Linked DNA regions of Callithrix jacchus. The protein of the gene in region 2 interacts with the protein of the main gene of each other region in a biochemical or structural test. Links are inferred from orthologs where the notes say so. Each region holds a gene or a part of one and is shown on either strand. Other genes may lie near its edges.

Region 1 (7,635 bases), on a different chromosome or scaffold from region 2:
GGGAGCCCTGAGAGGCAGAGGTCAAGGTTGGAATTTTTCTTTTTTTTTTTTTTTTGAGACAGACTCTTGGTCTGTCACCCAGGCTGGAATGCAATGGTGCAATCTCAGCTCACTGCAACCTCTGCCTACCAGGTTCAATCGGTTCTCCTCACAGCCTCCCAACTAGCTGGGATTACAGGTGCCTGCAAGCACGCTTGGCTAAATTTGTCTTTTCAGTAGAGATGGAGTTTCATCATGTTGGCCAAGCTGGTCTCAAACTCCTGACCTCAAGTGATCCACCAGCCTCGGCCTCTCAAACCGCTGGGATTACAGGCATGAGCCACCGTGCTGACTTCTTTCTTTAAAGAGACAGCGTCTTGCTCTCTCACCCAGGCTAGAGTGCTTTGGTGCCATCCTGGCTCACTGAGGCCTCAATCTCCTGGGCTCAAGCGATCATCCTGCCTCAGCCTCCCAAGTAGCTGGGACAGCAGGTGTACACTACCATGCCTGGGTAATTTTTTTGTATTTTGTAGAGTCAGGATCTGGCTATGTTGCCCAGGCTGGTTTCAAATTCCTGGCCCCAAGTAATTATCCCATCTCTGCCTCCCAAAGCACTGGGATTATAAGCATGAGCCACCGTGCCCAGCCATTGCTGGAGTCTTAGCCACCCCAACATGTGTCCCAAATCTCATTTGTCCTCAGCTCAAGGGATGGGAGCTCAAACTTACATTAGATGCTATCAGTACAGATAATCTCTCAACCACATCCAAAAAAACTTCATTCTTCTGGCTCTGAGAAAGAGAGAGGATTTGGGTCGTTGGAAGCAGAACAGTCTATGTTCTGAAGTGGACAGACAGAAGAAAGAACAGAAGAATGGTCAAAGCTACAGCTCTAGGGTAGGGACACAGGTGCCAGAAGGGATACCCACATCTAGGAGAGGTGGAAAACGTACCAAGATCTTTTTTTTTTTTAATTTTTGCATTTTTAGTAGAGATGGGGTTTCACCATGTTGACCAGGCTGCTCTCAAACTCCTGATGTCAGGTGATCTGCCTACCTCAGCCTCCCCAAATGCTGGGATTACAGACATGAACCACTGTGCCCAACCTAAAATCTTGGACTCTGGGGTCCCAGAGCAAAACCACAAGGTTGGACCCCATGGATCCCTCTCTCACCTGGTCAGAGCGACTGGACAGAATGGGGCGGCTGGCTGCACTGCTGGGGGCCACTTTGCTCTGTTGTGTCTCAGCCCCAAACTGTAAAGTATCCAAAGCAATCAATCCTCAGGTCTGACAACCCCAGGCAACACCCCTTCTCCTTCCTCACCCTCCTCTTTTTCTCTGCTGACCAAGCCAACACTGCTGAGGTCAAAGAGGCTGAAGGGCTTGCTGACCACAGCTTCCGTCTGGATGAAATTCCTCAGCATCTCCATAGATGTGGTCTGTACGTAGCCATAATCCTAGCGTAAAAGAAGGACAGTCTGAGAAGTCAGTGGAGGGAAGGGGTAAAAAAGGTGAAGTGGGGGCCGGGTGCAGTGGCTCACCCCTGTAATCCCAGCACTTTGTGAGGCCAAGGCAGGTGGATCATGAGGTCAGGAGTTCCAGACCAGCCTGACCAACATAGTGAAACCCCATTTCTACTAAAAATACAAAAAATTAGCCAGGCAGGTGGCATGTGCCTGTAGTCCCAGCTACTCAGGAGGCTGAGGCAGAAGAATCACTTGAACTCAAGAGGCAGAGGTTGCGGTGACCAGAGATCCAGCCACTGCACTCCAGCCTGGGCGCCAGAGACTCCTGTCTCCATAAAAAATAAACAATTAGTTGGGCACAGGGGAGGCTGGGGCAGGAGGATTACTTGAGCCCAGGAGTTCCAGGTTACAGTGAGCTATGACTGCACCACTGCACTCCAGCCTGGGTGACAGAGCAAAGACCCTATCTCTAAAAGGTAAAAAAAAAAGGAGTAGACTTGGTCTCCCAACCACAGCATCCCGCAGTAGAAGAGCAGAAGTATCTCCAGGGGAATTGGGGGGCGGGCACAGAAGGGGATCATTGATTCTCACCAGCACTTCATCCAGGAGCTCGTAGACCACAGCCACGTTGCGGGAGATGGTCCCCTCACCCAGGGCGCCACAGTAATCGCCCAGAAGGGTGGCCAACCTGAAGAAACACTTGGGAGTATGCATTTCCTCCTCCTCTTAGACCCCCACTAGCTACCAGGTGTCCAGCCCAGCCCTCCTCACCTGGAGAGCAGTTCTAGGAGGCCGAAGGGAGAAACGTTTTCTGAAGTTGTGACCACCAAATAGAGGCCGCTGTGTCTGATGTGAATGAAATGACGGCCCTCGTGATGCTGAGACACAGGCAGGTAGAGTAGCATTAGGAAAAAGGAGCTGGGGTGATCAGAACCCAGGAGACCTGAGCTCGGATCCCGATGCCTCTTACTAGTCACAGTAGCAGTGACTTCGGGAGATACATGACAGGTTCCTGAACCCAGCTTCCCAATGTGGAAACGGGGTTAATTACAGTAGCTACACCTAGTTGCTGAGGATGGAGTCATAAAGGGAGCTGGGCCTGGTGTTTTGCTGCCACCTGATGTAAGTTTTTTTTGTCCCAACGTCCCCCCCCCCCCGACCCCTGCCCGATGTAGTCTTGCTCTGTCACCCAAGCTGGAGTGCAGTGTGGCGATCTCGGCTCACTGCAGCCTCTGCCTCACGGGTTCAAGCGAGTCTCCTGGCTCAGCCTCCCTAGTAGCTGGGATTACAGGCGCTCACCACTAGGCCTGGCTAATTTTTTTGTATTTTTAGTAGAGGCGGGGGTTTCACCAGGTTGGCCAGGCTGGTTTCGAACTCCTGACCTCAGGTGATCCGCCCCCCTCGGCCTCCCAAAGTGCTGGGATTACAGGCATGAGACACCGGGCCTCTTGTTAGTTTTATATGGAAGAATGCACCCCATCCCAAGTGGAAGCTACCAAGGAATCAGCCCTGGGAGGGAGCCGGCGGGCCAGGTGGGCGCCGGCTCCCTGCTCCCCACCCGCCTCCCGCCAGTGGTTACCATGACAACCGGGGACTCGTCTCCTGGCAGTCCCGTCAGCTTCCGGTAGAAGAGCTCGGCCACATCCCGGCCGCCACTGTCCCCACGGACTGGCGGGTGGAAGAACTCAGTGAAGAAGCCTGCGACACGGGCTGGCCCCGGGCGCCCCTCCCGCCCGACACCTCCGCCCCTTCCCAGCCCCGCGGGTCTAGGATACAGTCTTTGTAGATGAGCGGGTCCCCCTTGGAGGACAGAATGAAGAACTGGGAAATCATGGCCGTTCTGGAGAGTAAACGAGAAGACGGCGAAAGTTGGGCCTGCCCCGCCCTGAGGCCCCGGAACAAAGGAACACGCGTGCGCTGGCCCTTTAAGAGCGATTCTGCTCCGCCTAAGCCAGCTCGGACCGCGGGAAACCAGACGCCCGCCCAGCCTAGCTCGGCGATTCCCTCCCGACGCCCACACCGCCTCCCCGTCACTCATTCCAGGTCCTCCTGGTGATTGGCTTGAGGCTAGCTGGAGGCGGGGAGAGGGCCGGCCTCTGCAATTGGCCGGCAGGCAGTGGCGCCGGTCACGTGGGGGCGACGTTTCGCGCCAATTTCGGTTGGTCAGCCACAGTCCACCGCGCGGACGTTCTCCGCTTGCCCGGGACCCAGACCTCTGAGTCCGCCAAGCGCTGCCGTACGGGCCTCGGTAGTGATGGCACTGAAGGACTACGCGATCGAGAAAGGTACTGCTCTACGAGCCTGGGAGGGCGTCCTGCGCGGGGAGCCTCCCGGGGAACACCTATTGGTGTGAGCTGGGGTCTTGTGGAGCCGGGATCAGCAAGTTCTGGGGACCACAAGGCTAGAGGCAGGGTCGGGCGGCCGCCCGGCTGAGGCCCACGAGGCGCAGGTGGCATCCATGTTGAAGAAAAGCTGGTAATCCCACGTAGTAAAGGTGTTAGGGTCATGGAGTTGGGGGCTTGGGGGCGCTAACCTGGCTGGGGGGGTGCTGCATAGGGGAGAATCGCGCCCAAGACCTCGGAGTACCCTAAGGACTCTGGGGTTCCGGGCCTGCTTTCCTCCGCGCTTTTGGGCATTCCCCAGTTCCCGCGTCCTCCCGAGGCGCGCGGAGGCCCTGGGGGCGGGCAGGCCGGGCCGCTACGCACCAGGATTGGCCGTTTGAGGCCGCCCTCCAAGCGGAAGTGGAGCCGGGCGGAAGTGGCGCGACGCGGATGGAGGGAGTGTCGTGTAAACAGTGTCCTTCCGCGCAGCGGCCTCGGAGAGAGCTGTGGCCCAGGGGAGGGGGCGTGCCTGGGAACCGGGAGCTTCGCTCGTGCCCCGGAAAGGCGGTAGTGGGCTGGGATCGCGGCGGCCCCAGGCGTGTTGTCCAATGGCTGGATGGGCTCCCGCCCTGGGCGGAGGAATCCCGGGCTGTGAGGCGGCTGGAATCCGGTCCCATGTGCTTCTTTGTTTACTAAGAGCGGAAGCGCTGGCGGGAGCGGGGGTGGGGTGCGCGACCCGCCTGATGGCGGAGGTCCTGGCGAGATCAGGGGCTCAGGGGCCCAAAGAAGGTGGGGGATCATAGGGGTGGAAGGAAGGCTGAGAACCTTGAGATCGGAGTGTGGGGCGCCGATGAGGAAGGGCGCTAGGGTTTTAAAGTAGGGACCGGAATTCCCCTGGGAAGACGATGTTGGATCATCCTGTGAACTGCCACGACCTCTTTATTCTTCGCTGATTAAAAACAAACTTGTGAAAAAGAGTTATACCCATTTTGGGGAGAATTCGGTAGGTTTATTTAAATGCTCATATCGTTAACTAGTTCATAAATCGTGTTTTAAGTGAAAATAGGCGTCTTAGATTTCTGTCAGAGGGATGGGCAGTAATATAAAGTTTGTGTCTTATGATTTTACCTTTTACGTTACAGAAAAGGTTAAGAAGTTCTTACAAGAGTTCTACCAGGATGATGAACTTGGGAAGAAGCAGTTCAAGTATGGGAACCAATTGGTGAGTCTAAGATTGGGTAAAGAGAATGAGGAGTCGGGTTTTAAGAAGTCCTAAGAAGCGGCTTGTTTCATCAAGGATGTTTTTCTGACATGTTTATCAGGGCATTTGATATCTGGTAAGAGAATGTGATGCTATAGTATTTTCATAATAATTAGAGAGTTTGGGGGCTGAGAAGTGAGTGTGCTCTCTGAGGTGCTATGTTCTCCCCTGTGGATGCCCAGAGCCCGTGCTGAGCTCTCAGTGATGCATCTTCACACGTGAACACTGAACAAGTGAACATGGCTCTGAGGTGTTGCTGTCTCTTTCCCACCTGAGGTTCGGCTGGCTCATAGGGAACAGGTGGCTCTGTACGTGGACCTGGATGATGTAGCTGAGGATGACCCTGAGTTGGTGGACTCAATTTGTGAGAATGCCAGGCGCTACGCAAAGCTGTTTGCTGATGCGGTACAAGAGCTGCTGCCTCAGTACAAGGAGAGGGAGGTGAGTGACTGGAGAACAATGCAGGGCAAGGCGTTTCAGCTTCTGTTAAGAAGCTTCTCAGATACTGATGTTTTCGGAGCCAGGCAGAAAGCAGGGGCACTTCTGCCTGGCATTGTCTGTGCTCTCCTTTCCCCATCCTGTTACTCATTTTTTTCTGCTCTTCTCCTTTAGGTGGTAAATAAAGATGTCCTGGATGTTTATATTGAACATCGGCTTATGATGGAGCAGCGGACTCGGGACCCTGGGATGGCCCGAAGCCCCCAGAACCAGTATCCCGCTGAACTCATGCGCAGATTGTGAGTGGTCTCTGTTGGGAAGGATGTAGGGATTGGTTTGTGACTCCAGGATCTTGTTTGTGACTGTTTTCTCCTCTTAGTGAGCTGTATTTTCAAGGCCCAAGCAGCAACAAGCCTCGTGTGATCCGGGATGTGCGAGCTGACTCTGTGGGGAAATTGGTGACTGTGCGTGGAATCGTCACCCGTGTCTCTGAAGTCAAACCCAAGATGGTAGTGGCCACTTACACTTGTGACCAGTGCGGGGCAGAGACCTACCAGCCGGTACGTGTGGAGGAAGGAGCAGGAAAGCACTTCACACTTAGTCATTTTATAGAAATTGATATGATCCATGATGCCTATCGTTTTTTCTGGTTGTAAAAGCTACCTATGTGTTCACTTTTCATTCTTGGGTATGTAGTGGTCTTTCTATTTTCTGGGTGTCTTCTGTTGTCTAGAATAAGCTCAAAGAGTTCTTGATTCAGAAGATGTCTGCCATGAAGAGAAAACATGATTCAAGAGACCGAGATGGGGCTGTTTTTCTTCTGACTTCCTTTGGTGTTTCTGTTCTCAATCCTAGATTCAGTCTCCCACTTTCATGCCTCTGATCATGTGCCCAAGCCAGGAGTGCCAAACCAACCGCTCAGGAGGGCGGCTGTATCTGCAGACACGGGGCTCCAAATTCATCAAATTCCAGGAGATGAAGATGCAAGAACATGTGAGTTTGGGGTATGTGGCCCTGGGCAGGTGGATCAGGAGTCCACTTGAATCCTGTAGTCACTGGTGGAATGGCAAGAAGAACAAAAGAGGGAAGTGCAGGAGTGAGGTGGAACTGGGGTTTCTTGAGAGCCTTGGCAAGGGGAGAAAGGCAGTCTCAGCTTCCGTCCTGTGGGCTTATCTGTGGCTGGGCAGGCAGGGAGTCTTGGCGTGGGATGCCTAGGGAGGGAAGGTTGGGTCCTTGTTTATTTCTCCTGAGCCTTATGTGCTCTTCCCTCCCCTAGAGTGACCAAGTACCCGTGGGAAATATCCCTCGTAGTATCACAGTGCTGGTAGAAGGAGAGAACACAAGGATCGCCCAGCCTGGAGACCATGTCAGTGTCACTGGTATCTTCCTGCCAGTCTTGCGCACTGGGTTCCGACAGGTGGTACAGGTAAGGAAGGGAGTTTGATATGAGGAACAGATCATCCCATTTCCCCTCACCCACTGTACCCATACAGAGAAAAGTGAGTAGCAAAGCACCAAACAAAACAACACAGTGCTTTATCAAGAAATTGTTAGGGAATCTGGTGATGGGTAAGTTCTAAGGATTGCATCTGTATCCTGACATTTTCCTGCCTAAGGGTTTACTCTCAGAAACCTACCTGGAAGCCCATCGGATTGTGAAGATGAACAAGAGTGAGGATGATGAGTCTGGGGCTGGAGAGCTCAGCAGGGAGGAGCTGAGGCAGATTGCAGGTGATGCTCAGGAGAGAGAGGAAATTCCGTTTACATCCTACCCCCCCATTTTCCCCCACAAAATACCTTAACCTTAAAATTCTCCACAGAGGAGGATTTTTACGAAAAGCTGGCAGCTTCAATTGCCCCAGAGATATATGGGCATGAAGATGTGAAGAAGGCACTGCTGCTCCTGCTAGTGGGGGGTGTGGACCAGTCTCCTCGAGGCATGAAAATCAGGGGTAAGAAGAAAAAAGGGCAAGGCTCAGGGTAGATGAAGTCATTTGGGAGGAAAAAAGGATGACAAGTGTCCCCATAGGTCACAGTATAAGAGTGGGCGTCTTCGATTCATGGACACAGGGAGGGCTTAGAAGTAATGCTAGGTGTTGGGGGAGGCAGAATTCAAAATTGCTCTGCTGTTGGCCAACTTGCACTGGGAGAAGAGTCATTCCTGGGCTGC
Region 2 (6,203 bases):
AGAGCTGATCCCAACAGTTTCTACCTTCAGAGAGAACTTTGTCTTGTTGGGGAGACAGACCCAGGAACAGCCATTATAGTGCAGGGTTTGTAGGAGCCTACTCTGTAGGGGTAGTTGAGGAAGGCTTCAGGGAGGAGGTGACATTTGAGCTGGACTTTGATGGATGAGTAGAAGTTTTCTTCTCATGGTCAAAGGTACAGAGGCATGACGGGCTAAGCCATGTTCATGGAGCTATGAGTTCCTTATAACCAGAATTCACGCAGGAAGTGGACAGAAGGGACTTGGCAGGTGCTGCTCTTACAGAGCTTCTGTTGCCTGATGAAGGAATGTTGGCTTTATCTTAAAAGTTTGGGAGTGTTGAAGGGTGGAAGGAGTGAGGTGCTCTGGTTGCTTTGAGAGAACCCATGTGGCTGCCCCGTGGAGAATGCAGCAGAGAGTGCAGGAGAGAAGTGGGGAAGTGCTGCAGTCGTGCAGGAGAGATGAGGGTGGCTGGCGGAGGTGGAGGTGGGTGGCGGGCGGCCTGCAGATGGAGAAGAAAGGCAGCATTTGCATGGGAAACCACACGGCTGTAAAATTAACAGGGCTCAGTGCTTGCCAGATGGGGCGGGTGAAGGAGGGGTCTGGAATGAACAGGAGGTTTGGAGCTTGTGTCTGGGTGAGTGTGGGACTGAGGGTGGGGGTGGAAAGGGAGGAGGCTGGAGCAAGATGCTGAGTCAAGTCCACAGTGTGTGTGGGATGGAGAGGGAGCTTGGATAGGAAGCTTGGGGACTCAAGGGTCTGCAGCTCAGGGCTGGACAGTGGGAGGCTGGTGTCAGCAGTGGTTCACGGGGAGCTGAGCTATAAGAGAAGGAGTGGGTGGAGGGAAGAACAAAGAGGAATACAGGCCAGAACTCTAAGGTCTGCCCCAGAGAGGGGCAGTTGGCTTACCAAGGCTGCACAGCAAGTGAGAGTCAGGCTGCAGGAGTCCGAAGTCCTTGTCACCCATTTCTCCTTACCTCAGGCTGGCTCTGGCCTGTGTGTCAGGAGCCCGCTGGCTACTAGGGATAACTAGGTTTTGGACAGTCCACTGAATCAAGTGATTCAACTCAGGCAACAAATGTTTATTGAGCAACTACTATGGTCAGGCATGGTTTCAGTTACTGGGAATACAGTGGTGAACAAAGGATCAAAATTTCTACCCTAGCTGACATTTTCGTAAAAAATACAGTAAAAAAACTAACTGAAACAAATAATAAAAAGTATAATTTCTAGTACCATAACGAAAAAGTAAGGCTATTGAGTAACGAGGGTGCTATTTTGGACTGGAAGGTCAGGGAAGGCTTCTCAGAGGAGGTGACATTTAAGCTAACATCTGAAGGAAGTGAGGGAGTGAGCTGTGAGGATAATCAAGGAAGCGTGTATAGGCAGAGGAAACAGCATATGCAAAGGTGCTGAGGCAGGCATGTGCTGGGTGTTGTGTGTGAGGACACCAGTATAGCCAGAGCCAAGGGAATGACGGGGAGAGTGGCAGATGTCTCCTATTGAGTCAATCAGTGCCCCCTAGCAAGTCTTGTCCTGTTAGGTGGTGAAAGATTCCCAGGATTCCTTCCCAGGACACTGATCCCCTTGCCCAGAACTATTTGCCCCCTGCCTGAGGCCTCATGCTTAGCCCTCTGCCCCCCCCATCCCCCAGACTGGTGCACTCAGGCCCCTCCAAGGGCTCAGTGCCCTATGATGCAGAGCTCTCTTTTGCCCTGCGCACGGGCACGCGTCACGGTGTGGACACTCACCTGTTCAGCGTGGAGTCACCGCAGGAGCTGGCTGCCTGGACCCGCCAGCTGGTGGATGGCTGTCACCGGGCCGCCGAGGGTGTGCAGGAGGTGTCTACAGGTGTGCTGGGAGGATCTGGGAGTGTCCCTCTGGTAATGAGCCTCTTCTCCTCAGGGACATTCAAGCTTCCTTCTTTAGGGCACTTCAGACAGGAAATGGGGTTTGGAGGTCAAGGTGGGTGGATCATCTGAGGTCAGGAGTTCGAGACTAGCCTGGCCAACATGGCAAAACCCCGTCTCTACTAGTAATACAAAAATTGGCTGGGTGTGGTGGCTCACACCTGTAATCTCAGCACTTTGGGAGGCTGAGGCGGGTGGATCACTTGAGATCAGCAGTTCAAGACCAGCTTGGCCAAATGGTGAAACCCCGTCTCTACTAAAAATATAAAAATTAGGTCAGGCGCGGTGACTCACGCCTGTAATCCCAGATACTTAGGAAGCTGAGACAGGAGAATTGCTTGGACCTGAGAGGCGGAGGCTGCAGTGAGCTGAGATCACACCACTGCACTCCAGCCTGGGCGGCAGAGCAACAGTCCATCTCAAAAAACAAAACAAACAAATAGAAATTAGCCAGCCATGATGGAACACACCTGTCATCTCAGCCACTTGGGAGGATGGGGCAGGAGAATTGCTTTAATCCTGGAGGTAGAGGTTGTAGTTAGCCCACATAGCCCCACTTCACTCCAGCCTGGGTGACAGAGCAAGATTCGGTCTCAAAAAACAAAATAAAACCAAACAAAACCCCAAACATTAGCTGAGCATGGTAGCAGGTGCCTATAGTCCCAGCTACTTGGGAGGCTGAGGCACAAGAATTACTTGGGAGGTAGAGGTTGTGGTGAGCCAAGATCACACCCACTACACTCCAGCCTGGGTGACAGTGAGATTGTTCCTCAAAAAAAAAGAAACCAACGTTGGGTTTGGGCCTCTGTTTTGGATGTGCAGGTGCCCTGGTAGGCAGAGACTCTTCTCCCTGGGGTTTTCTTGCCCCAGCTTTGTCCATCTGCTGAGGATGTGAGAGATGGCACTTGGGGTAGGGCTGCCAGATGAAATACAGGACACCCAGCTACATTTGAATTTCAAGTTAACAATGAATACTTTTTTCATAGAACTATGCCCAAATTAGTCATTGCTTATCTGAAATTTAAATTTAGCTGGGCAACTCTGCAAGTCTCCAAGGGTGGTGCTTGGTAGATCTGATGATGCCTTTATCAGGAGTGAGCCTCCTGTCCATGACAGATTTTAAGCTCCCCCCTTTATACTGTAGTGCTGCTGGAAGTGGGGCTGGAAGTGGGTATAGGTCCTCTGAGGGTGGGGGTGGTGACTCTCTGCAGGATGGGTATACAGGTGCCACAACAAACAGTGATCCTACCATACATGGAGGCATTTAGGCCCCACTTTGTGACGCTGCGGTGGGGGTTGGAGGTTGGGGTGTGGTCTCTGAGGTGCCAGCTATGCCTGTACCTACGTGCCCCTCCTGCAGCCTGCACGTGGAACGGGCGTCCCTGCAGCCTGTCTGTGCACATCGACAAGGGCTTCACACTGTGGGCGGCTGAGCCAGGGGCAGCCCGAGCTGTGCTCCTGCGACAACCCTTCGAGAAGCTGCAGATGTCTTCAGATGATGGCGCCAGTCTCCTTTTCCTGGACTTTGGGGGTGCTGAAGGCGAGATCGTGAGTGAAGGGCAGCCTCTGTACCCTGGGGAGGAGGGGGTGTGCACTCTTGGAAGCCAGGCTGGCCAGGGCCCTGACTCTTCTCTCCATCCACCCTGCAGCAGCTGGACCTCCACTCGTGTCCCAAAACCATAGTCTTCATCATCCACTCCTTCCTCTCGGCCAAAGTCACCCGCCTTGGGCTCTTGGCCTAGAAGTCGCCGGATGCACTAGCCCTGAAGAGGGGTGTCTATAACATGGCCTGAGCTGGGCCTCCACCGAATGCCTGCTCGCCCCTGGGCTGACAGAAGGGAGAGGAGAGGAACGAGGTTCCTCAGAGACCCCGCCCCTGAGGGAGGCTGGATTGGTCTTGGGGCCCAGGACCCAGACCCAGGACAGAGTGGACCCTGCCTGTGATGGGGTAGCCTTCCTGCTGCCCCCCTCCACTAGTGCCTTTTGCAGAGAGATATTTTGTGTACACAGAAGCCATTCCAAGCCTGGGACCTGCCCCTGTGTGGATCCTGACCCCAGCCAACAGCTGAGCTGCCAGGCCTCCTTGAGGCCCCTAAGCCACCCCCAGAGGTCCCATCTGAAGCTGGAATACCTGGGGTCAGCGGCAAGAGAAAGAAGAGGAGCCTTTCTGTTTGTTTTTCCCCTTAGCTCCGCCACCTTGGGGAGTCTGGTTTTTCTCTTCATCCTTTCTCTCTCCTCCTTACTCTTGGATAAATAAATAGCCTGTGAGCATACAGGCAGCCTGGCCCAGTGTCTGTGGTCTGTGCCTTGGCCTTTGGGCCCTGGGGTGGCCCCTGCAGTCCCAAGATGGACCAGACCAAGGACCGGGGCACCTTTCCCTGGAGAAGAACAGACCTTCACCACAGGGCCAAAGAGAGTGTATTGGTTATTTATTTTTGTGTGACAAATTACCCCAAATTTAGCAGACAAATGACCCTGAATTTTGCAGCTTAAAATGACAAATATTCATTATGTCCTAGGTTCTGTGGGTCAGGAATTTGGGAGGGGCTAAGCTGGGCTGTTCTTGTCTCAGAGTTGCTCATGAGGTTGCAGTCAAGTTGTCGGCCAGGGCTGCAGTCATCTGAAGGCTTGACTGGGGTCGGAGGATCCATTCCAATACTGCTTATGGTCATGAGGTCTCAGTGCCTCACCATGCAGGCCTAACCCTAGAGCTGCTGCTTGAGTCTTCTCATGATATGGCAGTTGGCTTTCCCCACAGTGAGACAGAAGATAGAGCAAGGAGGAAGCCACAAACAGTGCCTCTTATGACCCAGTCTTGGAAGCCACAGACCGTGGTTCTGTTCATTAGAAGTGAGTCACTAAGTTCAGCCCACACTCAAGGGGAGGGGAATCAGGCTCCACCTCTTGAAGAAAGGAATGTGGAAGAATGTGTGGACCTATTTCAAAGCCACCTTAGAGAGCTTCAGGACCCTTTCCTGCAGAAGGGAGGTAGAGTGGAATGTTTAGTGCTTCAGAAACTGTGATGTGCTGGCTGGATGTGAGTGGGCGGTGGCTATGACTCCCTACCTGAAATCACAATGACAACAGCAATGATGGAGAAGGTTTTTTTGTTTACTTTTTTTTGAGACACGGTCTTGCTCTGTCACCCAAGTGGGAGTGCAGTGGTATGTTCTCAGCTCACTGCAACCTCCACTTCCCAGTTCAAGTGATTCTCCTGCCTCAGCCTCCTGAGTAGCTTTTACAGGTGCCTGCCACCAAGCCTCACTAATGTTTTGTATTTTTAATAGAGACGGGGTTTCACCATGTTGGCCAGGCTGGTATTGAACTCCTGACAATCCTCCTGCGTCAGCCTCCCAAAGTGCTAGGATTACAGGTGTGAGCCACCACGCCCAGCTCAGAACATTTTTAAAACTTTCTAAAGATCCAGTTTCTTCAATGTAGCCACAAGATAAAACAAAGATCATGTGCTTGGTGTGCCTGCCTGTATCCCAGCACTTTGGGAGGTTGAGGAGGGTAGATTACCCAAGGTCAGGAGTTTGAGACCAGACTGGCCAATATGGTGAAACCCTGTCTCTAGTAAAAATACAAAAATCACCTGGGCATGGTGGCACCTGCCTGTAATCCCAGCTACTCAGGAGACAGGAGAATCACTTGAACCCCCGGAGGTGGAGGTTGCAGTGAGCAGAGATCGCACCACTGCACTCCGGCCTAGGTCACAGAGCATGACTCTGCCTCAAAAAAAAAAAAAAAAAAAAAGACCAGGTAACTTAACTTTGAGGCAATCACTTTTAGCTTATTTATAATGGCAGCATTCTTTGTTTCTTTGTGAAAATGAAACTTTCTCAGCTTATCCACTAAATTTTCAGCAATATCCCAAACCATGAAAGACTCACTCATTTCCTTCTGGCCATCAGCAGTCTGGTGCCTTCACTTGGAACACCCTGTGAAGTGTTTTTGAGATGTGGTCTTGCTTTGCTGCCCAGGCTGGAGTGCAACTGTGGGATCCCAGCTCACTGCAGCCTCAGCTTTCCAGGCTTACGTGATCCTCCTACCTTGGTCTCCTAAGTTACTGGGACCACAGGCATGTGCCACTATGGCTGGCTAATTTTTTTATTTTTTAATTTCTTGTAGAGATGGGGTTTTGCCATGTTGCCCAGGCTGGTCTCACACTCCCGAGCTCAAGCAATCCTCCTATCTTAGCCTCCTAAAGTGCTGGGATTACAGGCAGGAGCCACTATGCCTGGCCTTGGACCCCTTTTAAGAATAGGATGGTGA
Region 3 (7,574 bases), on a different chromosome or scaffold from region 2:
AAAAAAAAAAAAAAAAAATACAGTCCAAAGTGGCTCACGCCGGAGCTCATGGCGCTCGCGAAGGCGAGGTCATCAGTTCAAGGCTAACCTGAGCAACCTCATTAGCTCAAACTGATTGGCAAAAAAAAAAAAAAAAAAAAAATGACACTTGGTCATATATGTTACAAATTATTTTTCCCCAGAAACTGGAGTATTTTATTAAAAACATGAAAGGATGCTGCTTGGAATTTTCTTAAAAACGCTTCCTTATTGATGAAGTCCGACCGTCCTCTGCTAATCATTAAGATTTAGAGCTTGAAAAAATCATGCAGACACTGCAAACCACCCCCTTGTTTTTCCAGGTGAGGAAATTAACTCAGGACTAGTCCAAGGTTACATACTTAGTAACAAAGGCAGCAGCGGGGCCTGGATTGCCCAGGTCCAAGTTGGCGCTATATCTAGCCCTCCCCTGCCCCACCCAACACACACACGCACCAGCTCATTGTCAACAGTCTATCTATGTGTGAAGTTCACACACCCATTCGTGAGGCTGTTAGGACCTTGGGAACATTTATTAATGGCTTTTATGTCGCCAGAAGCAACCACACAATCAACTGCACTGTCGCTAATTATCTTTATTAACAACCTTAAAAGATGGATTCTTTTTATTTATCAAAGGATGGATCTTATTTATCAAATAATGGATGTTTATTTATTAAAGCACCATCCACCCAATACCAAACCCAGAACCAAAACAACACAAACACACAGGAATGAGTTCTTTTCAGAAATACTGTCTCTGTTTTCACTTTCTTCTGTGACACAGAGTGGCTCATGGCCATCACCATGATCAATAAACACTTCTATAGATGAAGAACACCACACTTTGCCATTATGGGTAAAGATCATTGATGTCAGAGGGAGAAGAAATTCAGGCGTGTCCTTTCATCAGAACAAAGAAGAGAAGTGAGCCAGTCCATTCAACAGTGCAGCGCTCTCAGCCAAGTCCTCCAGAAGGGGGTGAGACACGATCTCAGGCTCAAGCCCCTCCCCAGCGCACGACTGTTGCTATGGAACCTCACTCCCTGTCTCCCCGCTGCTGTCTCTGAGATGATGCTAGAGCCTCACAGTGGAACCTCACTCCCTGTCTCCCCGCTGCTGTCTCTGAGATGATGCTAGAGCCTCACAGTGGAACCTCACTCCCTGTCTCCCCGCTGCTGTCTCTGAGATGATGCTAGAGCCTCACAGTTTCTTCCCTCTGGCTCTCCTCCTGCCTTCCTGCAGTTCTTCTGTCTCCCTCTCTGGATCTCTTCTCACACTGCCCTGTGTCTCAGAGTTCCACCAGGATCCATTCTTTTTTTTTTTTTTCTGAGACATGGTCTCACTCTGTTGCCCATGCTGGAGTGCGGTGGTGCCATCTCTGCTCACTGCAGCCTCCACCTCCCGGTTTTGAGCAATTCTCCTGCCTCAGCCTCCCAGGTAGCTGGGACTACAGGTGCCCATCACCATGCCCAGCAAATTTTTTTGTATTTTTAGTAGAGATGGGGTTCTGCCATGTTGGCCAGGCAGCAGACTCCATTGTCGACCCTCTTCCCTTCCTACTCCACAGACTCTTTTTGGGTGGTCTTGTCCAATCCCACCATTTCAAAACATCACCACTTGCTGATGAAATCCAAATGCACAGCTTTAGCTCACATATCTCCCCAGCATATCAGAGCCATATAACCAACAGCCCCAGGTATGAGAGGCCCAACTGGGCCTCTCATGGTGGCAGCAGCCTCAGTGAGCCAAAACAGAAATCCAACCTTCCCCGATGGGCCACACTTCTTCCAATATGCCTGGCCTTCCAAGTCAAAAAAAAACTGGACATTTTACCATAATCTTGTATGCCACCTGCACCAGTGCCTAGAATCAGCCATTTCTCCAAGGAGCCCTGGTTCCTTTTAGTTAATAATCACATTTAGAAACCAAGATCTGGGTGCAAAATGTGCTCATTGCTAGGAGGCTGTCACTGCTTCCAGGCCCTCTCAGGGGAAGGGCCAAGGAATATATGTATATAGATACATTTATGTATAGTTGTACATACACACACCTACAGCTGCATTCCTGTATCTTTTTATATCTTTATAAAATATATATATATAATCATGAATTGACACCAATATCTCAAGTTTTGACCCACTACCAATGAATTCATTCGCGTTTTCTCCCTCTCCATATTTGTAACTCCCTTCTCTGAGTAACCTGGCTTCCATGGTCGTCTCTGCATTTACTCATTTGATCAACCCATCTAAGAACAGTTGCCTATGTCTGCCACTGCTCTTCCCCTGCCTCTGCACAGACAGCCTCCTCAATTTGTAAAGTCCTTTTACTTCCTGTTGGGCTGATGCTGCCCCTGCCCCCCACCCTGAGACACAGATCTCACCCAGCAGGAGCTCCAGCACCCAGTACCAGTTCCCTGCACCCGCCATGCAGATATCCTCCTGCCCTGCCCAGCACTGATATCCCCTTCCATGCCACCACTGCCACTGCCCTCACCCCAGCGTGGCTGCCCCCATGGGGATGATCCATGTCTGTTCAGGCTCCAGCACCTCAAACAAGCCACCACAATCCAGGCTAACCATGGTAGAAAGTAGGACTTAATTCCCACCACCCACCTGCAAAACTCAAAGAATTGTAGGCAGTATCGCATCTGAATGCAGAAGAGACTTTTGAGAAGAGAGGTTTGACACTGATCAAAGAACAACACAGAGGCCACTGTCTGTTCTGCCTGTGCCTACGGCTGCTCAGCCTGGGAGCTGCACTTTCAGTCCAACTGACCACTACAGGCAAGTCCTATGTCAAAGTGCTTAGCTCCACTGGGCCTCAACTGCTTCACAGAACTGGCATTTTAATGTATTTGTGAAAGGCTGGGGTATATGAAATACAAGTGCCACCATGAGTCTCATGGAAATGCCAAACTGAGAGAATGAATCAATAAGCAGGGAAAACAACCATGGTGGTTTCCATAGATGTGTAAGGATGTGGCTTTGCAGAGCCCGTGTCCCGGCAGGTCTACCTGAGATTGCCGGCTGCATTTACCTCTCAATGATAGTGAGAGGAACAGATGGATGGGGGAGCTGACAGAAAAAACAAGGAGACTCAGAGTCGGCAGAGAGTTCTAAATGCCATACATTTATGCTTGCTCAAGTGTTCTCTAGAGACCTCAGAAGCAAACAACCCCTTCCACATTCCCATTCAGTTGAGTACAGTCCTCCCATGGCCCCAGATTCCCAGCCTAGCACATCACTCTTAGAAGAAAGAAAGAGGGGGCTGGGGAGGAAGGCAGGGAGAATAAAGGAAAGAGAAAAAGTCAACAAAATTCAGGTTTGAGGAGTGGGCCATCTGAAACTTCCTGTTGTTCCCAGGCAACTTAAAAGAGAGCCTGACTGTAGGCTGGACTTTCTAGGTGTGCAGATCCAGAGAAAAGGGCAAATTCTTCCCTGTGTATGTGTGCAGTCACCCGGACAAACAGAAACCCATTTGTGAGATGGAATTTCCATGGCAGGCAAGGGCTCTGAGGGGAATGTACAGGGCAGGAACATCTGTCCTGGTACTAAATGCACCATTCCCACCTTCCCAACACTAGGGCCATCTGCATGGAGAGGCAGAGACTTCTTACTCCCTTTCTAAACATACTACAGGATCAATTTAGAGCCCTGGTATACAAGGGGAGAAGGTGATTTTGTCCCCTAAGGGATGTTTGGCACGACTGGAGATATTTTTGGTTGTCACAGTGGAGAGGAGTGTGCTACTGGTATCTCGCAGGTAGAGGCCAGAGCTGCTGCTAAACATCCCACAGTACACAGGACAGCCCACGCGGCAAAGACTTACCCAGCCCAGGAAGCCAGTGGTGCCCAGTCCACAGCACTCTGCCAGAGGCCAGCTCGTGATCACCTTTTTATTGCTGCACCCACAGCCATCTAACAATACCCTATACATTCTCTCATCAAATTCCCTCTAAGTATCCTGATGGGGAAGTGTTGCTAAAATTCTCGTACCAAAGATCAAGACTGAGCCCCAGATTTCTTTTAATAGATACCTTGTCACCAAAGTGCTGCATGTGACCTTCATAAGCAACAGAAGCTAACACTGATGCCAGTGCCCACTATGGAAAAACGAAGAAAAATCAATGCAGCTTGCCCCAGTGATGCCCAACAGCTGTGAGCCAAGTAATTTCTCCAGAGGAATCGAATTCAGGAGCAACTCTTTCAAAGCTCAACTTCTTTATCATTCATCAGTTTTCATTAAGAACCTTGAAAACCTCCAAGTCCACCATTCGAACTGTGAATTGATCCTAAGATTCTTTCCCCTGCAACAACTTAAAAAAGAAAACGCTACTCACAAGTTTCAACCCTGAAGTTGAACAACGATGCCTAGGAACAGTTAACTCAGCAAAGAAGTAAATTTTCTGAAACAAAAGCAGGAGGAGACAGAAATTTTGCCAACACATTCCAACAGCAAACATCTAACACACCAAACAAACAAAAAAGAAAACCAGCACAGAAAACAGTTACCCAGGAAATAGCTTTTTAAAGAGGGGAAATCTTACTCTGGTTGTCAAGGACAGCTGAACAATGAAAAACTGGGACGCGGACTCGCTGGTGTCATTTGCTCAGGAAGGGTCAGAAGTGGCCACAGGCTGGCTTTCCCTTTGCGTCTGGGGCATCAATGCCCAGCCAGCCTGCAGGGTCTCCAGTTCCAACATCTCGAAGGCTGCATGGCTGCAGCCTCTCATCTCGGAAGGAATCAGAGCTGCTCTCCCACTGCTGAAAATATTTGAGAAGTGCCAAGCAGATGGTCCCACGCTTATCAGCAGAAGCTTCCAATGGCATCATTCGGTGACACACTCGAGTGAAAATCTTCACGCCAATCCAGAGCGGGATGTGAACTGATGATAACGCAAGGCAGTGGACCACCTCGAACCACAAAGGCCAGCCAGGGCTAAAGAGAAAGATGACCTGGAGAAATGCCACATGGAAGGGCAAAACCACATGTGTAGTGGAAAGACAGAACCAGCTCAAATTCTCAGTTCGGCTTCTAATTACTCATGTGACCTCTGCCAAGCTCTCTAAGACTTGGTTTTCTCACCTGTAAAATGGAGCTAATAATATGACCTTGACATGTTGTAATGATGGGATAAGACTATGTATAGACCCAGAGAGACACGTGGGAGATATGTGGCTAGACAGTTAAGAATTTGCTCCCTTCCTACAACCCAGTTTCAGAGACAATCACGCTCAATGTATATAAGACCCATGGTGGGGGCCGGGCGTGGTGGCTCAAGCCTGTAATCCCAGCACTTTGGGAGGCCGAGGCGGGTGGATCACGAGGTCAAGAGATCGAGACCATCCTGGTCAACATGGTGAAACCCCATCTCTACTAAAAATACAAAAAATTAGCTGGGCATGGTGACACATGCCTGTAATCCCAGCTACTCAGGAGGCTGAGGCAGGAGAATTGCCTGAACCCAGGAGGCGGAGGTTGCGGTGAGCCGAGATCGCGCCATTGCACTCCAGCCTGGGTAACAAGAGCGAAACTCCATCTCAAAAAAAAAAAAAAAAAGACCCATAGGATGCAGTGAAAAGCAAACAAGCCAAGGAGCGGGTTCCAGGGGTGGAGGCAGGGTCTGCACCATTGGCCTTGCCCAGACTGCTTCCCAGCCTGGTCTGGGGACTCCTCCTGGGAGCAGCTGTTTCTCTTAGATGCAGACTCTCACCCGTGCAGTCAGGAACATAAGAGCAAATTCCTTTTTCCCTGATCCCTGTTCTGCACTTTTCCTTTTTTTTTTTTTTTTTGTTTGTTTTTTTTTCCTCTCTCTTTTTTTTAAACCAAAAATGGTCAATATGTTACCCATTTTTCAAAGAACCCAATGTGAAGCACCAAAGGCTGAGCAGGAGTATTCTGGATCTCTTGGATCTCAGGTAGCCAAGCCTGAGAACCCAAGCCTGAAGACCCAGCCCTCACTCATGGTAGCATTTTTCTTATGTAAAGGGATTCCTTCATAGATACTGTGCCAAATTATTAAGGGACCCTGGGGACTGATTATATCAAAATGGGTGAGAAGGCAATTTCAGACTCTGTGGGAAAGCAGCCATAGGCACCGATAGATGCAGTTTCCCTCTGACTGATTTCGTAAGCAATAAGACCATAGTCCCAGGGCAGAGCCAAACTACTCTTGTGGGAAGCCTGACCAGCAGTTCGAGTCCTCCTAGAGGGAAGAAGAAAGGGGAGAGGAGAAAGCTTCCCCTGGAGCCAGCAGGCATCTACTGGGTAGGCAGTGCTGAGCACCAAATCAATAGAACAGGTGATTTGCTGGTCTATTGATTTCAGCAAATCAATAGACCAGAAGATCCTGAAGTTGGAAAGGTATTCTCATTACCTGGTTCTGATGTTCCAAGGAAGGAGAAGGTCAGCCTCCTGGAGAACTTTAGTTTCCCAGAGGATGGTCAGAAACTAAAAGGAAACAGGCACCAGCTAAAGCAAACGGCAAGGCAGAAAAGAAAGAGTGCCTGGTGGGAAAGGATCAGAACCACGGCAGAAAACACAATTAGGAGAGAAAGAACAGGCTGCCCAGGAAGGTTCCAATCCCAGCAGGGGAGCAAGAGACCCTGAAGGAAATGCGGGATGGAGATGGGATGGGACAGAGCGATCCTCTCTGCTCCACATTCACTGCTTCTCAGAGCAGGGGCTGTCCAGATGTTATGAACATTTCACCCTGTCCTTATGGGTGCTGTGAAACCCTGCACAGTGACCAACTAGAAGGAGGATGCCGACGTCATTATGTAAGTCAACAGAACTGAGGGCCTCACCGAGTTGCTTTTTCCAGCATCTAACAGAACAGAAGTCTGTCCCGACAGGCAGAGGACAACAAGCTGCCCAACGTGGAAGTTGATAATGGTCACGAAGTGAATGAAGGGCAAGCCACCGTGAAGCTGGAATGGCCTGATGGCTTCTAGGTAGGGAGAAAGTCTCCAAAGGGGCTGGTGGCCGGCTAGGGGAGCCTGAAAGAGGTGGCTCTCTTCGTCCCCGGCTTGAGTGGGTGGCAGAAGGCCCCAGTTGTTTTGTGACTAATTGGCACCACTAACAAAGCAGGAACTATCACAGATGGAGAGGGAGTCGCATTTGTGGCAGATAATGATTTATCCTTAGAGAAAATACAGCAGCTCACAGTAAAAATAAAACTGCTTGCATTTAAGCCACAAATAGGTTGGCTATTTCTGTGCTTGGTTTGTCTTTGTGAGTAATCATTCTCCTCTTGAGAGGTGGGCAGAGTTGCGGGGAAGGAGGTGTACTAACAGCGGGTAACAAAGCAACCGAATCTGGGAAAGAGGAGGGTCTGGAGCTCCAACTTCCGGCGGAAGTTCTAGCATCCACCTCCAAGTCAAACCTTCCAAAGTTCCCTAGAGAAACAACATCCCTCTTTCTCCCATCAAACAGCAGAGAACCATAATGAAGAGGGCCTGGAGAAGGGCCTTATGGGAGCAGGGAAGAAGGAAACATATTTACCCACAGCCACGCAGTGGACCCATAAAAGTGGCAGTAGGCACAGTGGT
Region 4 (7,554 bases), on a different chromosome or scaffold from region 2:
AAGACGTGCACAACCTCTCAAGATCAGCCTTCATCGTTGGCGCTTTCTGTCATTTTCCAAAGTACTGTCAAATATACGGGTTTTTAGAACTAATTTGCTTTAACAGTTGCAAGTGAATAATGAAGAAATGAGGGAGTTTTGTTCAACTTACAATATCCAGTACTTGTATAAGTTCATATGTTTTTATTCTTGATCTTGTATCCTTACTAAGAACAAAAAGTGTTAGGCTAAAAAATGTTACACACACACACACACACACACACACACACACACCCTAACCATAAAATGTAGGAATCAAAGGAGTTCCGAGAATATTTTATTTTTATTAGACAACCAACACTATTGAACATGAACTATTCCAAACTCTCCTGTCAGGAAAATGGAAGGAAATTCCCAAGAATTCCTGAGATCCCTGTATGGATACTCCTGCTAGAATAGCCTTCTGGTTTTCAGTGTTTATAATTTAATGTATTTATTATACAGAAATTCAGAGAAACTTGATGTATTTCTGAATGAGCAGGGGAAAAAGTTTCAGGAGAGTTTTCAACAATTCAAATGTCACAGTGTGTTTATATACGTAATGATGATACAGCAAAGTTACTGGCATCTGGCTTCTGCCCTGAACCTCTACAACCAAGTTCTGGCCTTATCGCACACAGAAAAGCAATGCCTTCCACCCTTCAAGGCCATTTAAGGTTGGTACACTATTCTGGTAACACCACTTGACAGAAAGATGGCAAGGAAAAACCTCTTCCCCACATTCCCTGTGCCTCACCCTGCAGCCCAGCACTCAGAGCTCCTTTCCTGAGCAGCATCAATTTCAACTTCTTCCAATCCCTTGGCTATTTTGAGACTGCCCCTTGGGGGCCCAGAAAGAAGCCAGAAGGCTGGGCACAGTTGCTCACTACTGTAATCCCAGCATTTTGGGAGGCCAAGGTTTTCGAGACCAGTCCATGGTGAAACCCTGTCTCCATTAAAAATACAAAATTAGCTAGGTGTGGTGGTACATGCCTGTAATCCCAGCTACTTGAGAGGTTAAGGCTGGAGAATCCCTTGAACCCAGGAGGCAGAGGTTGCAGTGAGCCAAGATCGTGCCACTGTACTCCAGCCTGGGCAACAAGAGTGAAAAAGAAGGAAAGAAAGAAAGGAAGAAAGAAAAGAAAGAAGAAAGGAAAGCAAAGACAAAAGGAAGGAAGGAAGGGAGAAAGAGAAAGGAAGGAGCGAGGGAGAGAGAAAGAAGGAGAGAAAGAGAGCGAGAAAGAAAAAGAGGGAAAGAAAAGAAAGAGAGAGAGAAAGAAAAGAAAGAGAAGGAGAAAGAATGAAAGAAAGACGCCAGGAATCTCAGGCTTGCGGTGACATGGAAAACTTGGGGTGTAGTCTCCTTCTTCCCCTTTTTCTAAGTCCTCTTGTTTCCTGGCACCCCTCCTCAACCCCCCCAAGTTGGCAAATCAGCTGATAAATCCTGGGCAGGGAGTGAATAAGCAAATTACTCCCCAGTTGTAACACTCTAACCATCAGTCTTGGGCCTAAAGCAAATTCATATGTTTGCATTTCTGTAAAAGAAAGTGGTTAAAACTGCTTGGCTTTATATAAACTTTAAAAACATTCCTTTTTGCTTTTGACCTGGACAGCTGTGGAAATCAGTCTCTCCTTGCAAGGTAAGAATATGAGCTTGATCATACTGACGACCAACATCAGCAAAGATGCTGATGTTCATTGCAGGCACTGTTCTTACTCCAATGCCAGAAGGACCTGTGAGAATTATATAACATTTTCATGCACCCTTACATAAACAATTAGAAGCTGTTTACTTCTCAAGGACCCAATTAAAGATATTTTGTTTTTCGAGCCTGAACTGAGGACACTACAGGGGCCAAATGAGAGAAGGGGCTTGCAGTCCTGCCGCACTGAATATTCATGGCTGTGCCCCCACCCCAATATAATCCATTTCGCCAGGTTAACAACTCACTCATTTCAAAGCGATTCATTTGCCAACTCAAAAAAACACAGATACAACTTTAAATGCTTTCGGATTTTAATCCTCTGGAGTATTTATATGTGTTCTTGTCTCATCCCTCCAAAACTAATCCCAGAGTTTTGAGAATCTGGGAACTTGGGAAAAGGAGAAAACAAGCAGCAGACCAAGGAATCTGAAATGGTAGTTCATGACGTCAGCCGAAACTGACAGTACCTTTGTGTTGGTACTGACCTAGCTCAAATTACAAAATCACAAGAGTAATAAAACACAAAATACAGGTGTTATCACTGACAAGTCTAAAATGTAATTAAGCATGTTTTTTTTCCCCTCGCAGTCGTACCGTTTGCTCTGTATCTCAACGTTTCTGTCTCCCTAAGCCTCTCCCTTTATCATGAGCACACACCGTTGCATCTTGCTCACACATTCATTAGCTGGGACTGAGGAGTGAATACGATGCCAGCGGGTCCTCAGCGTTAGCTGTTAGATGCACAAACCTTCGCATCCTTTCCACTTCCACTGCACTTGAGGTTCAACAGAAGATCCCTGCAAGAACAGCGCCCAGAGAGCATTCTGAACAGATGCGCCCTTGGCTCCAGCAACCCGCTCTGCTGGGAAGTTTCCTCTAACCACTAACACCCACCTCTGATCCCCCAAGCTGTCACGACACAGGCTGGCTGGGTCGCCTCTTGACGGGGGAAGGGTTTTACACACACCCTGCTAGGCTGCCCCATGCCACAACCAAGCTCGCAGGGCAAACTCCTTCATGCCCGGCGGGCAAGCAGTCCCAGGCGCTCTGGCGCTTCCAGAACACCAAGGTCCCCTCCTCGCTCCAAGGAGCGAGCGCTCTCTGCCGCAGGGAACCCCCAGGACTGCAGGTCGAGGGGATGCTGGGGAAGCAGGGGCGCAGGAGGGAGCCTGGCGCGGGAGGCAAACGGGGCGCAGCAGCGGCTGCGGGAGCACTTGGGGGCCGCGGGAGGGGGCGGGGCCCCTCGGGGGAGCCGGGCGCGGGAGGGGGTGCGCGGAACAGGGACCTGGAACCAGCGGGCGCAGGAAGGGGCGCGTCCGCAGGAACCCGCGGGCCGCACGGGAGGCACTAGCTCCGCGATCAGCTCCGGACTCTCAGGAGCGGCTCAATTGCCAACTGGAGTGGGGTGCGGGGAGTTGGGGGGGGCAGACCCGACGGGGGCGTGCCTTTGCCCCGATTGGCTACAGGAACCTGACGCGAGGCCCCGGGGGTTGGCTTGGGGAGGTGGGAGCGGGGTGGGGTGGGTGCTGGGTGCCGGAGCTGCGGGCCCGGCGCGCTCAGAAACATGCTGAGGTCCCGGCGGCTCTTCCAGCAGCGGCAGCGGCGGCGGCGGCGGCGGCGACAGCGACAGCGCTCGGATCCGGCGGGAAAGGCGCCCGGCGCCCATGCCTCCGGCCCCGCGCCGTGGCTGTCCTGACCCGGCCGCGACCTCCCTCGGCGCACCCCGCCGCCCGGGCTCCTGGGGTGTTCCCTAGCCACTGCCCAGCCCCGCCACACCCACCGCCCCCGGCCTCCGCAGCTCGGCATGGGCGCGGGGGCGCTCGTCCTGGGCGCCTCCGATCCCGCCAACCTGTCGTCGGCTGCGCCGCTCCCCGACGGCGCGGCCACTGCGGCGCGGTTGCTGGTGCCCGCGTCGCCGCCCGCCTCGCTGCTGCCTCCCGCCAGCGAAGGCCTCGAGCCGCTGTCGCAGCAGTGGACGGCGGGTATGGGCCTGCTGATGGCGCTTATCGTGCTGCTCATCGTGGCGGGCAACGTGCTGGTGATTGTGGCCATCGCCAAGACGCCGCGGCTGCAGACGCTCACCAACCTCTTCATCATGTCCTTGGCCAGCGCCGACCTGGTCATGGGGCTGCTGGTGGTGCCGTTCGGGGCCACCATCGTGGTGTGGGGCGGCTGGGAGTACGGCTCCTTCTTCTGCGAGCTGTGGACCTCGGTAGACGTGCTGTGCGTGACGGCCAGCATCGAGACCCTGTGTGTCATCGCCCTGGACCGCTACCTCGCCATCACGTCGCCCTTCCGCTACCAGAGCCTGCTGACGCGCGCGCGGGCAAGGGGCCTCGTGTGCACCGTGTGGGCCATCTCGGCGCTGGTGTCCTTCTTGCCCATCCTCATGCACTGGTGGCGGGCGGAGAGCGACGAGGCGCGCCGCTGCTACAACGACCCCAAGTGCTGCGACTTCGTCACCAACCGGGCCTACGCCATCGCCTCGTCCGTGGTCTCCTTCTACGTGCCCCTATGCATCATGGCCTTCGTGTACCTGCGGGTGTTCCGCGAGGCCCAGAAGCAGGTGAAGAAGATCGACAGCTGCGAGCGCCGGTTCCTCGGCGGCCCGGAGCGGCCGCCCTCACCCGCCCCCGCGCCCGCGCCGCCGTCAGCGCCAGGACCCCCGCGCCCCAACGCCGCCGCCGCCGCCGCCCCCCTGGCCAACGGGCGCGCGGGCAAGCGGCGGCCCTCGCGCCTCGTGGCCCTGCGCGAGCAGAAGGCGCTCAAGACGCTGGGCATCATCATGGGAGTGTTCACGCTCTGCTGGCTGCCCTTCTTCCTGGCCAACGTGGTGAAGGCCTTCCACCGCGAGCTGGTGCCTGATCGCCTCTTCGTCTTCTTCAACTGGCTGGGCTACGCCAACTCGGCCTTCAACCCCATCATATACTGCCGCAGCCCGGACTTCCGCAAGGCCTTCCAGCGCCTGCTCCGCTGCGCGCGCAGGGCCGCCAGCCGGCGCCACGCGGCCCACGGGGACCGGCCGCGCGCCTCGGGCTGCCTGGCCCGGCCCGGTCCTCCGCCGTCGCCCGGGGCCGCGTCGGACGACGACGACGACGATGTCGTCGGGGCCACGCCGCCCGCGCGCCTGCTGGAGCCCTGGGCCGGCTGCAACGGCGGGGCGGCGGCGGACAGCGACTCGAGCCTGGACGAGCCGTGCCGCCCCGGCTTCGCCTCGGAATCCAAGGTGTAGGGGCCCGGCGCCCCGGAACGGCTTCCCGGGGGATCTCGGAGATCTGTGTTTACTCAAGACCGAAAGCAGGTGAACTCGAAGCCCACAAACCTCGTCTGAATCATCCAAGGCAAACAGAAAAGCCACGGACCGTTGCACAAAAAGGAAAGTTTGGGGAGGGGTGGGAGAGTGGCTTGCTGATGTTCCTTGGGTTGTTTTCCTTCTTCTTCTGTTTGTGGTCCGGCCTTCTTTTGTGTGTGCCTGTGATGCATCTTTAGATTTTTCCCCCCAGGTGGTTTTTGACTCCACGAGGATGGGAGTGGAAGCTGGGTGGGCAGGGGAAGGGAGAAGAAGCATTAGGAGGGGATTAAAATCCGATCAACCTGGCTCCCGACCCTGTCCCAGGAACAGGGGCAGTCTACCAGCCAGAGAGAGGAGAATGACAGTTTATCAAGGCATATTTATTTCCTTTTGCTTTCCAGAGAAATTTCATTTTAATTCCTAAGTAATGGTTTCCGCTGTTATGAAAGCGAAAAGGATGGATGCAAAAAAAAAAAAAAAATCACGTTTCAAGAAATGTTAAGCTCTTCTTGGAACAAGCCCCAATTTGCTTTCCTTGTGTAGGGCAAACCCTCTGATCCCCCGCGCGCCTGGATGGTCAGGCTACGGGATTTCTACCTCACACTGTGCATTTGCACAGCAGATAGAAAGACTTGTTTATATTAAACAGCTTATTTATGTATCAATACTAGTTGGAAGGACCAGGCGCAGAGCCTCTCTCTGTGACATGTGACTCTTGTCAATTTAAGACAGGACATGAAAAGAGAGAGAGAGACAGTTTTGATTACTGCACATGTGGATAAAAACAAAAACAAAAAAAGGAGTGGTTCAAAATGCCATTTTTGCACAGTGTTAGGAATTACAAATTCCACAGAAAACATTACTTGCACAAAAAGAAGTTAAATATTTTTTAACTGGGGAAGTGGTGGGCAGATCTTAAAAACTAAAATAAAATTCAAGCTCTACTTCTGTTGTCTAGTATGTTATAGAGCTAATGATTTATTGGGAAAATACCTTTTTATACTCCTTTATCATGGTACTGTAACTGTATCCATATTATAAATATAATTATCTTAAGGATTTTTTATTTTTTTTATGTCCAAGTGCCCACGTGAATTTGCTGGTGAAAGTTAGCACTTGTGTGTAAATTCTATTTCCTCTTGTGTGTTTTACCAAGTATTTATACTCTGGTGCAACTAACTACTGTGTGAGGAATTGGTCCATGTGCAATAAATACCAATGAAGCACAATTGAGATTATGTATCGTGTGTCTGTACGGGGTCAGCAATAATGAAAAAGACAGCTTGTTTTGTTCAGAATACAGACTGGATTTCTATAGAGCTCTTTTAATAGGTTTTCATGATTCAATAACATAGCAAAATGCCTCCAGACCAAATAAGGTGTTTACCTACTGAGAGCTCCAGATTTGCCCTAAATTTTCACAGCCAGATTAAATGTGTAGGCACTTTCAAGATCCCATCTGCTGCACTTGACTTAAGAAGTGACATTTGGGATTGCTTATATTCTAAAAATAAATTTAAAAACCAGTGATGTGGCCATTTAACTCAGCTGCAACTTTCATGGAAATGCAGGAAAGACTCATTGAATGATCAGTTGCCTACTTGGAATGCAGTAAGTGGCTTCCACAGCTTATTTTTGTTTTCCAATAGAAAATCACAGCCTGCAGATGATCAGTGTGTGCAGATTTCTCCAGAGGCTGTTTAGAATGAAAAATGCTTTCATGGTTAAGCAAAAATATATAAAAGGGCTTCTGAAGTAAATGTTTTTCCTCTAGCGTAGTCAAGTAGATCATTTTGCCAGAAGTTCTGGGTGGACAGATCACAGGTAAAAGCAAATGTGAAAGGATTTAAGTTTCTAAGAAAATTAAAGCACCCAAAGGATGGGGTCTTTTTCATAAAGTTAGTTCCTAAAGGAAAGTATGGTGAAATTCTGTCCTGATAGTGATTTTACATTATCCAAAATACATTAAAATACTCTATTTTTAAATAGGCTTTTTATATCATGACCATACAGTAAAGAAATCAAAGTAAAGAGTATTCATGTCTGGCTTATGCTACACTTTAACACGAGAGAGTATTCTCTAATAGGGAAATGTCGAGACTGAACATTGTTTTTTGCAATGGCATATTCTAAAGACAAGGCAACCATCTTCTGAGAAAGGTTAATGACGTAGATGTTTTAGAGACCAGCAGAAGGTTGCACAAACAGGAGCAGCCTCAACAAAAGCTGCTATGAAGTTTAACCCCTTTCCAGCAAGAAAGAGAGAGAGAGAGAGAGAAGAAAGAAAGAAAGGATGAGCTTCTTTAAGAATATAAAAATAAATATTTAAAGAAATATATTTTGGAGCATGTATAATCAGTCTCGGGATGAATGTCACTATAATTTCCCTAGGAACCAAATATGGTTAATTTCTATCCACTCCCCACCATGAGTGTGTAAGATGCATTTTCTTAGGGGTTTTGTCCTTTTTTGTCTGAAATTACTAGACACTGAAGTAGCAGTTAAATGCTTCACTTTCTTGATTTCCTGATTATTTAC

The links.
Region 1: the proteins of SNTA1 (region 2) and MCM7 interact in a test that uses a peptide from one of them, tested with the Homo sapiens proteins (2 studies listed by BioGRID and IntAct). The link is inferred for Callithrix jacchus from reciprocal best matches to the Homo sapiens genes SNTA1 and MCM7.
Region 3: the proteins of SNTA1 (region 2) and MAS1 interact in a test that uses a peptide from one of them, tested with the Homo sapiens proteins (2 studies listed by BioGRID and IntAct). The link is inferred for Callithrix jacchus from reciprocal best matches to the Homo sapiens genes SNTA1 and MAS1.
Region 4: the proteins of SNTA1 (region 2) and ADRB1 interact in a test that uses a peptide from one of them, tested with the Homo sapiens proteins (2 studies listed by BioGRID and IntAct). The link is inferred for Callithrix jacchus from reciprocal best matches to the Homo sapiens genes SNTA1 and ADRB1.

The regions. Positions count from the first base shown.
Region 1 is NC_133503.1:13,480,662-13,488,296, forward strand, and holds the start of MCM7 (DNA replication licensing factor MCM7), read left to right. Parts: upstream 1-3,602; 5' UTR 3,603-3,699; coding exon 3,700-3,730; intron 3,731-3,978; exon of another isoform or gene 3,979-4,157; intron 4,158-4,453; exon of another isoform or gene 4,454-4,769; intron 4,770-4,908; coding exon 4,909-4,988; intron 4,989-5,303; coding exon 5,304-5,468; exon of another isoform or gene 5,469-5,472; intron 5,473-5,639; coding exon 5,640-5,764; intron 5,765-5,844; coding exon 5,845-6,025; intron 6,026-6,320; coding exon 6,321-6,458; intron 6,459-6,741; coding exon 6,742-6,891; intron 6,892-7,081; coding exon 7,082-7,196; intron 7,197-7,285; coding exon 7,286-7,417; intron 7,418-7,635. Other genes in the region: AP4M1 (AP-4 complex subunit mu-1), read right to left, coding at 1-7, 708-770, 1,153-1,233, 1,326-1,436, 2,037-2,133, 2,217-2,323, 3,025-3,113, 3,221-3,278. UniProt on the Homo sapiens protein: Acts as a component of the MCM2-7 complex (MCM complex) which is the replicative helicase essential for 'once per cell cycle' DNA replication initiation and elongation in eukaryotic cells.
Region 2 is NC_133506.1:5,908,681-5,914,883, forward strand, and holds the end of SNTA1 (alpha-1-syntrophin), read left to right. Parts: intron 1-1,672; coding exon 1,673-1,869; coding exon of another isoform or gene 1,870-1,901; intron 1,902-3,288; coding exon 3,289-3,476; intron 3,477-3,577; coding exon 3,578-3,670; 3' UTR 3,671-4,217; downstream 4,218-6,203. UniProt on the Homo sapiens protein: Adapter protein that binds to and probably organizes the subcellular localization of a variety of membrane proteins. May link various receptors to the actin cytoskeleton and the extracellular matrix via the dystrophin glycoprotein complex.
Region 3 is NC_133505.1:166,710,432-166,718,005, reverse strand, and holds the start of MAS1 (proto-oncogene Mas), read right to left. Parts: upstream 4,770-7,574; 5' UTR 4,571-4,769; intron 1-4,570. UniProt on the Homo sapiens protein: Receptor for angiotensin 1-7. Acts specifically as a functional antagonist of AGTR1 (angiotensin-2 type 1 receptor), although it up-regulates AGTR1 receptor levels.
Region 4 is NC_133513.1:106,980,912-106,988,465, forward strand, and holds ADRB1 (beta-1 adrenergic receptor), read left to right. Parts: upstream 1-3,259; 5' UTR 3,260-3,528; coding exon 3,529-4,956; 3' UTR 4,957-6,249; downstream 6,250-7,554. UniProt on the Homo sapiens protein: Beta-adrenergic receptors mediate the catecholamine-induced activation of adenylate cyclase through the action of G proteins. This receptor binds epinephrine and norepinephrine with approximately equal affinity.